Linked DNA regions of Daphnia pulex. The protein of the gene in region 1 purifies or fractionates together with the protein of each later gene. This does not show direct contact. Links are inferred from orthologs where the notes say so. Each region holds a gene or a part of one and is shown in the gene's direction. Other genes may lie near its edges.

Evidence for each region. Proteins that work in one complex are often made in the same cells at the same time.
Region 2: the proteins of GATOR complex protein WDR59-like (region 1) and GATOR complex protein NPRL3-like purify together in Homo sapiens (affinity purification with western blotting; 3 studies listed by BioGRID and IntAct, with this or other methods). This does not show direct contact. The link is inferred for Daphnia pulex from reciprocal best matches to the Homo sapiens genes WDR59 and NPRL3.

Annotation. Positions count from the first base shown.
Region 1 is NC_060019.1:12,027,795-12,031,877, reverse strand, and holds the end of GATOR complex protein WDR59-like, read left to right. Parts: intron 1-5; coding exon 6-208; intron 209-273; coding exon 274-452; intron 453-536; coding exon 537-664; intron 665-745; coding exon 746-782; intron 783-855; coding exon 856-1,057; intron 1,058-1,162; coding exon 1,163-1,338; intron 1,339-1,425; coding exon 1,426-1,623; intron 1,624-1,698; coding exon 1,699-1,822; intron 1,823-2,232; coding exon of another isoform or gene 2,233-2,273; coding exon 2,274-2,297; intron 2,298-2,469; coding exon 2,470-2,632; intron 2,633-2,697; coding exon 2,698-2,788; intron 2,789-2,896; coding exon 2,897-2,993; intron 2,994-3,058; coding exon 3,059-3,212; intron 3,213-3,295; coding exon 3,296-3,435; 3' UTR 3,436-3,457; downstream 3,458-4,083. UniProt on the Homo sapiens protein: As a component of the GATOR2 complex, functions as an activator of the amino acid-sensing branch of the mTORC1 signaling pathway. The GATOR2 complex indirectly activates mTORC1 through the inhibition of the GATOR1 subcomplex.
Region 2 is NC_060022.1:6,641,245-6,645,842, forward strand, and holds GATOR complex protein NPRL3-like, read left to right. Parts: upstream 1-1,449; 5' UTR 1,450-1,559; coding exon 1,560-1,590; intron 1,591-1,660; coding exon 1,661-1,750; intron 1,751-1,820; coding exon 1,821-1,927; intron 1,928-2,003; coding exon 2,004-2,180; intron 2,181-2,239; coding exon 2,240-3,145; intron 3,146-3,217; coding exon 3,218-3,483; intron 3,484-3,544; coding exon 3,545-3,713; 3' UTR 3,714-4,136; downstream 4,137-4,598. Other genes in the region: eukaryotic translation initiation factor 3 subunit D-like, read right to left, coding at 28-115; uncharacterized protein LOC124195566, read left to right, coding at 726-802, 905-1,271; kinesin-like protein KIF2A, read right to left, coding at 4,330-4,523, 4,590-4,598. UniProt on the Homo sapiens protein: As a component of the GATOR1 complex functions as an inhibitor of the amino acid-sensing branch of the mTORC1 pathway.

The DNA of each region.
Region 1 (4,083 bases):
TTCAGGTTCCATTGGTACTGATAACTCTATCAGTGTTTGCGATGTAGACGAGACACAACGAAGCTTAACAACAGTGATTCGCACTGCAAAGCATCAAATAATACTTCATATTTCTATGCCTCCATCGTATCCCGACGGAGCGATTCCAAATTTTCTATTCGGAAAAGGAACGACTATTGACAACAATGCCAGAAGCAAAATGTTAAAAGTATTTCGAGAGAGTTTATTCTTGCGTAACTCAAAAGATTTATTTGACACGGCGGCATTGTACAGGTTTTGAAACAAGCAGCAACTCTATCGTGCCGCAAAGGTCATCCGTCTATAGAGCTCGTGCTACAACAACTTCTAATTTCAGTCGATCAGTTAACACCAATTGATAAGTCAGAAACGGAATCGTCAAAGACCATAACATTGAATGTCAACTCATCAACTACCGGAAATACTCCTTTCAGGTAACATTTAATTCGTATTTAGTTACTTAGATGAAACGTATATTCAATATGCTACTAAACATAATTAACGAATCTGTTTTCTAGGTTACCGCAAACTGGTCTTGGGCATCCTGGTTTCCTACAGAATGGCGGTTTATTTGGTAGTCTAACTCATCATCAAGACCACAATATTCCATACCCTCGGTCATCCGGTGCTCGATTTTGCAGTGCTGGTAATGTCATTAAAACAAAAAACATAAAAATATCCTTCAGCAAACTGCTATATTGATTTGCCCTTGTTTTATTTTATACAGGTATGCTGATTTGTTTTGGTCGACCATCCTATTTAAGGTTTTTGATTAATTGAAATGATTAATCGTACGACTAGGAATTCATCAGTTCTATTTTATTTATATAATTGAAGGCGTGTGAACAGTAAAACTTCGGACACTTCAACTACACCTCGTTCTCTATCCGTGAACCAAGCTTATTCATCAAACTTGGTACAGCATAGCTTGGTAGCTTCATCAAATACGACTCCTTATGGATTGTTGTATCCGCCCGTTGCTCAAAGTCCGACCGGTGATCCGTCAGTCAGCATCTCGTCTTTTTATAACCAAGACAGGGTAGGCTATACTTGGAAGTATTTCCGTGATTGCTGACATTAGCCTTTTATTAATGAGATAATTCCATTGCTGATTAAATAACAAAATATTTTGTAATTCATTCAGAGACAGAAATCTCGAACTTCTAAGTCGAAAAATAGACTTTCCTCTTATAGCTCGTCTTCAGACGAAAATAAAAGGGGAGCTCAAGAGGCACGTCATCATAAGGTGGTCGGAATGGTGACGATTTACGATGCTTCTGGATTGATGCCACAGCAGTTAGAATTAGCAGAAAGATATGTGTTAGTTTATCTTTTATATATTTTCTTGTATAATAATTCCTTGAATCAGATTTAGTCATAGTTTCATTACATATTTTTATTCACCAGATTTAGCGATACTGATACGGCATGGATGTGCAACCAAAATGCAGCGGTTGCTGCGCAGTTTGGCAGAAAAGATTTGACTTACATTTGGTCGTTGGGTGCCCTTCTGGCAACTCCTACCTTGATACACGAAAATAATACCAATGACCTTGATACCCCATGGGCTCAAAATCCATTCGGCCGGAAGCTTCTTCATGCGATGTATGTATATGTGTATTTATTTGATCTCTTTAGCGTATACTTAAAACAACACACCAACATTATAATTTATTACAGTATCGACCACTACGTGAAATTACGAGATATACAAACTGTAGCCATGTTGTGTTGCGCATTTGGTTACAAATGTGATAGTCAGGAAACTTTCCGGCGTAAAACAACACGATCGGAATCGGGCAGCGTAAGTGTAGAAGCTTATTTTAATTTTTTAACATGAAATCTGGCATTCTGAAACTTGGTATCACGATTAATAGCACTAGAACCGATAAGCAAGGTCTTACGTTTGATTGTTAAAAAGGTGATCGTCGGATTGGCTTTTCTCTCGAGTGTTCTGATCATAAAATCTTTTTTTATTCTAATTTCTTCGTGCTCGGCTTCCGTTTCCTGATTGCAATCTGGTTTCGCCTTCCTTTTTCAGGGGAATAATTGCATTTCAAATTCTTTGTGGTCTGTCCTTTTGTTTTTGGTTTTTTTTTTTTTTTTTTTTTTTTTTAACTAAATTATCTTGCTCCATAATATCGCTACTTCTTTGTCTCAACATGCTCTCTCTAACACTGTGGCTTATTTCCTTGGTGCTGCTGGGATTTTGAGAATGCTGACTGCGGGATATCAATGAGTTTTTTTTCCTACAGCGCAACTTACGGTGGGGTTTAAAGGTAGGCATATATTCCTCTAGATTTTACCCCCACGTAAGTGTGATGGTTTTTTTACATGAAAAATATCTAATCACAATAGTGGAGAATATGAGTTTTCCTATTTTTCCTCGCTTTTTTCTCTTTTAAGCTCTTATGATGAGTGAACTTTAATTATTCTGATGTTCAACATTAGCCAGGAGAATCACCGTATCATACAATACACCCGGGCGACACAACTTTAGATAGCTGGAATGTCTTAAAACAAATACGTTCAAATTCGTGGTCGGATTCACTTGATGATTTTCGTCTTGCAACTCCTGGAATTAACTCTGTCCCAAGTGGTCGCCCTTTGCCAAGTAAGGGCTTCTCCTTAAATTTTTAGAAATGTTATCAATTTTGTCTGAATGGGTTTTTATTTCAGTCGCTTCCATTTTCCTACCCCACTCTGTGACGAGCGTCGTTTCAGTGAATGGGACTGATGGAAGTGAAGAGTATAAAGACAAGGATTTCAGGTTTGAAATTTTTAATAATTTTGAAATTTTGATCGCATTCACATCAAGAGTTTTTATTGTTGTTGAATTTCGTAACTAAGCGTTTTCTTTTCTCAATTTGATTTCAAGATTACTAGATCCGAAATTTAATGGATTATTTGACAACTACCGTCGATGTTATGCTGATATCCTTTATCGCTGGGGACTTCTCGAGGCTCGCGTTTTGGTATGCGGATTAAAAATAATAACTTCTTGGCCGTACTTCTTGAAAACCAATTTTGTCTATTCAAGGTTTTGAAATATTTATCCACTCCCATTGATCCTCATAGAGGCGTGGATTTCGTAACTGAGTGTGTTCCTTGTAGGACTACGGTTAGAGGGCCGCAATGCACCCTTTGCAAGCGTTTGCTTCTCAATTGCGTTATTTGTCGAGTTGTTGTAAAAGGTAACTATCTTAAAACCATCTAGTAAATATCAGTCATGTAATAGCGTTAGAGGTGGCATAATGGTTGAATCATTTATTTTCAGGCTCTGCGAGTTTTTGTCTGGTGTGCGGACACGGTGGTCATGGTAGATGCATGTCGCATTGGTTCACTGAAGAAGACGAATGCCCTACAGGATGTGGTTGCAACTGCTTGTTGGAAAATAACACTGTGTTTTCCGTCTGATAATATATTAAATCGCATTAAATACGTTGAGACAAAGAATACATTTGGTTTACAAAAAACTTTGAAACTATACAAATTTGCTACAAAAGTAAAATTTCCGTTATTCTCAGGTTAAAATGTTAAATTTCTTTTTTATAAGAAACAAACGGAATACTTTTTTAAATATTTTTGCAGAAACAAAAAATATTATTAACAAATTTTTAAAAAAGTCCCGATAGGGATTCTAATTACGTTTCGACCCCAAAGCGTCACTTTATCGTTTCGATTACTTTAAAGTGGTCGGTCAACCCCCTGTGCAGTCCGTGACGTATTCCTAATACACTCATTTATGAACGCTCGTTACAAAAGTTGACGTTTTCCTAGCGAGTGATAAATGAGGTAACGTGTAATCAAATGTTGCTAACCTTTTAGGGGATTGTGGCTTATGATGTATAGAGGATAACGAAATTGGAGTGGGTCACTTCCGAGTGTGTGTCGAAACAAAACGGAACGACGGAGGTTGCGGTTTCTTGAAAAGGATAATTCACTCGTATGCACCAAATTACCGTTTGTCGAAAGTGACACGGCAGTGAGTTGCGACGCTCAAAACTGTCGACTAGTGAATCACGTCAAGTTATCCAAATCGTTCGGGGAAAAATAAAAATCCCT
Region 2 (4,598 bases), on another chromosome or scaffold:
TCAAATTCAAAGTTTTAACCTACAAACCTTCATCAAAGTCAGTACACAAGGAATGTTCTCTGTGTTTAGTCTCTTGGTATTCATGATCTATTTTAATGCCATTAAAATGATTCATGAGAAATTGTTGATTGGTGGAAAAATGAGAAATTGATGATTGGTGGAAATATTGACAAATTCCCCCCAAAAAACCTAAACCCCGTGAAAAAAACACCCTATCGGGAAATAAATATTTAATTTCGGTGATATTTTAATTAGAAATTGACGTAGGTGTTCGTTAGTTGTCGCCGCCTAGCGGTGATTGTTGGTTTACCACTCTATGATTCTCTGGTTTTGTTTTGGTTTGGTTTGATTAGGTGCGTCTGCTATCTGTGATTCTCTGGTGATTCTCTGGATTCTGTTTGTTTCTAAAAACCATAGTTTACAATTCTTAGCGCTAGGTGGAGACAACCAACGAACACCTCTCCCGTCCCCTCAAAATTTAACCGCAAATATCTTTTAATTTAATATCTTCACAAGAAAGGTGCTTTGGAGACTTAGAATAGCTTTTTTAATCTCTATCGATTGACCCTTCTTAAAAAAATATGATTAAAAATACACCCGACAAGCTATAACACGGCGGGATAGGACGTGAGTCCCGTCCTCTAGCTTTAGTAGTCCATGGTGGATACAACAGGCCTTAACCATAGAGTAGGCCATGGGGTAACTAGGCTACTACTACTATAAAAATGTTGGCTGTTAGATCTTTCAATAGACTTATTTATTTCAAAAGGACACAAATTGGAATCCAAAATGAACAACTGAGGTATGAATTTTGAAATATTAACTTGTGCATCTGTGTGAGTGTGACCTTATTATGGAAAATGAGTATGTGACAAATAAATAATGATGGTATATTTTTTTCTAGGACTGTTATGCAATCTTGTTGCAGTAGATCCACTAAGCAACCAGAAAATCCTGATATGCCTTTGTCATTTTCCAACTCAAACGCTGCCAAATGGTCAGCACAACAATCATTTAGTGGTGGAGGAAATACTGGTGAATCTCCATGGTATGAGCCATTTGTGATTTCAGCTAGTGTTACTGCCATACTAGTGTGGTTTTGTGTCCTGAGAGAAGAAAATGATGTTGATGATAAACTTGGAAAAAGTTTATATGACAGAGTTGATGGTTTGGAGAAGAAACAATTGGAATTGGCTTTGAAGCACAATATCCAAGGAGTGGATACAGTAGCCATTAAGAAGAGACTAGATGAATTGTCAACAAATAGTTGAATTTCCTATCTGTAAACATAATTTAATTGAAGTTGAAATACATTAAGTAAAAACCAGTTTATTGTTTGGTAAATTTTTTGCGATTCTCCTTTTCAAATCATTTGTTTGCTATTTATTTTTTTTACGTTGAATCTGTGAAGAAACCGTAGATGGCACTGTTTTGTTTTTGATTTTTAAGAATGCAGACGAAAATTGAAGCAAATCTCAAAAATTGACAGTTTGCGTCTTGCGTGGTGTTTCTGCCTCTAAACGCCTGAAGTTAGCGAGAAAATTCATAGAAAAAGAAGCATGGATGTCAATCCGTTGGCGGTAATTTTGGGTAAATATATTATTTACAGATAAAGCTTATTTCAAAAGAAAATATTTAATGGGAACAAACGTGGCTTTAGTCGAAAACGGTAGCAAAGGTGATCGTTTGTTGTTTCGCTATCCTTATGATACTCAAGCTACACCAAACTTTGCAAAACGTACACGCGCAAGTAAGTTCCTTACGAAACTCCATAACTTCCAGCGCAAGTCTCCAAGTTTTTTCTCTGTTGTATTGTATAGAGCAACTGCAAACTCCATACCCCCAGATCAGTGCTGAAGATATGCAAAAAACAAGTGCAGCATATTCCAGTACAATTAGTGGTAGTGTTCACAGCTTTCCAAGCAAAGTATGTTAATATACTCTCTTAATATAATCTGTTTTGAAACATTGAAGGTTATTAAAACATTTTTTCAACTATTTAGGTATTATCCAATTTGTTTGCTGTGAAATCAGAATTGTGTGGAAAAAAATTTGAAATAAAAATAAATGACATTCGGTTTGTCGGTCATCCACTTCTTGTTTACCACCAGGGTGAAGGCAAATCTGCTGGCTCTAGCCAGGAATCAATTTTGTCTTTCAATGTAGTTTTTGCCTTAAAGGTAAAGAGATTCCATTTTAAACTTGCATGATTTTCATCAATATTTTTTACACTTCTAAGGCATCTGCAAGTCATGCAGTAGTTGACTGTTATCATGAAGTAAGCAAGAGAATAGCAGCTGCACTTTGGCATGAAGAGCGTAGAGTGGCATATTTGAGTGAAGAAGCCAAGGTCATGACATCCACTCAAGATGACATTTCTTCGGAATTGCCCGATGATCCACTAGATGTGCCGTACCATTTAATTTTACAACGAAGTCAGCTTGCGCGCGACTTGCGTCGTGTCTACGAAGATTTACAAATTTCTGGGAAGATACATTTGCGCATCAATCGATGGATTCTGATCAGCTGCTGTTTACCTCAAAAAATCTACCACCTTCTTGACCCTGGACTTGTTATTGAACCAGCAGACATTCATGCTTGCATGGAAGCATTGAGACCATACCACGCCATTTTGCTGCTTGGGGACAAAGAAAAAATCATCAATAATCTACCTCTTGATTCGTCCCCCGCTTTGAAACGACTCATAAATCTTGCGAATCCCCTAAAAAGTTTACAAACTTTAGCAGCCGATGCTGACTTGACGCTATCACACGTCTTTCAATTAGTGGGTCACATGCTATACTTTGGACACGCAACCATTATATATCCTCTTTGTGATAGCAATGTTTACGTCCTTGCAGGCAGTGCCAACACTTCCCCACAATCCAAACTTGCTGATGTCTTCTCCGAAATGTTCAATAGTGCTTGTTTAATTCAGATTATGTCCGAATTTTCCGTTCCTGTATCATTGAGCCAGAGAAGGAATCCACTCGCCACTCCAGAGCAAGAATCAGAGGAAATTAAAATTATTATTTGGATGCTGCAACATCATTTGCTCATACAATTGCACACATATGTACATATTGTCGTTGATGACATGCATCCGAGATCATTTAACAAGGGTTCATTTCGTAGTGCCAAAACGGTAAGTTTTTGTGTTTAAAGTATAACGATTACTGTAGTTAAATCAGACAGTATTGTTTGAATTATCCCCTAGACGCGTGTAACGTTTGCAAGTCGCCAGTCCACTCCAGATGAATTGAATGCTGGATCCAGCCTTACACGAATGCCCAGCGATAGCGACATGGCCTCTGTTATTAGTGACGAGGCTTTGTCCAGTCCACCTTCACATAAGAGCATCAGTAGTAAAGCTCCGTGGTCAATCGAAAATATTCTTTCGGCCTCTCTGAGTAATGCTGAAAGAGAGGCTGTCCTTCAAGTTGATGCCGCTGCCAACTCAGAAGACTTGGAACTTTTTGCTCGGTAAGCTAAACTATTATTTAAAAACATCTTTTCATGAATAATCTAATAGAAGAAAACACAGGCTTTGCAAATATTTCCGCGGGAAACACCATCTAGAGGAAATCATGTACTTGGAAAATGTTCGAAGATCGGACCTACTTCACCTTATTGACAAATTTCGAACTATTCTCATTACATTCGAACATGAAGATTCAGCTTGCTCCGTTTTCTACAAGAATTCTACAACTTAAATATCATATTTTTCAGTGGAAATCAAAATTGGTGAATGTTATATGGAAGTCGTTTTCACTTGATTTAAGTTAAAAGCGGTATGTGAACATTGGCGTTAACACTAGCTCGCATCAAAAACCCTCCCTATTGGTCTCCTACGAAGCCGACTGTTGCCGTAGCTCAATACCTGTGTCTACATCGCAGCTTGCGAGGTAATCTTACGTCAGGAAGTCGGTTGGGGGCTAGTGACAGATAGGCCAATGTCGCATTCCTGTTCAACCTTTGTAAACTTTAAATTTTATCTCAGGACAGTATATGTTTTATTTGCTATTAAAATATGAATTTTCCTAAATATTTTACAAAATCCTTAGAATCAAATTTGGCAGAAAGTGAGATTGCTAATTGTTTGGTAAAGCAAGAATAAATATATCTACTTTTACATATGTTAGCTCTACTTTACAATTGTGCATGGTAATATTCACCTTTATGAGGAAGCAAAATAGATGGCAATGAATGAAGTGATGATGACGTACAGTGGTGAAATATTACAAGCTAAAACCTGTTTAAAGAATCTTTTTTCGGGAAAAGCTCAAAGAGGTAGAAAGATAAATAAAGAGATCGGCTGAACGACTGCTATTATTCGCAACGTTCTGCTTCGCGGAGCTGATTTCCTTTGTATGCCATTGATCTCGGATGGCGGAGCATCTTAGGTCGAAGGTTATCTACATCATCTTCCTCCAACTCTTTTCGGGCTTGGATAAACTTGGTTTTGAGAGACATAACATCATCGCCAAACTCAGTCAGTACAGTAGACATCTTCGAAACATAGGCTGCAATCAATTAAGAAGTTGCATGTGTTAGAAAATAAGAGTAAACAATAATTTTACTTGACAAACCTTCAAGAT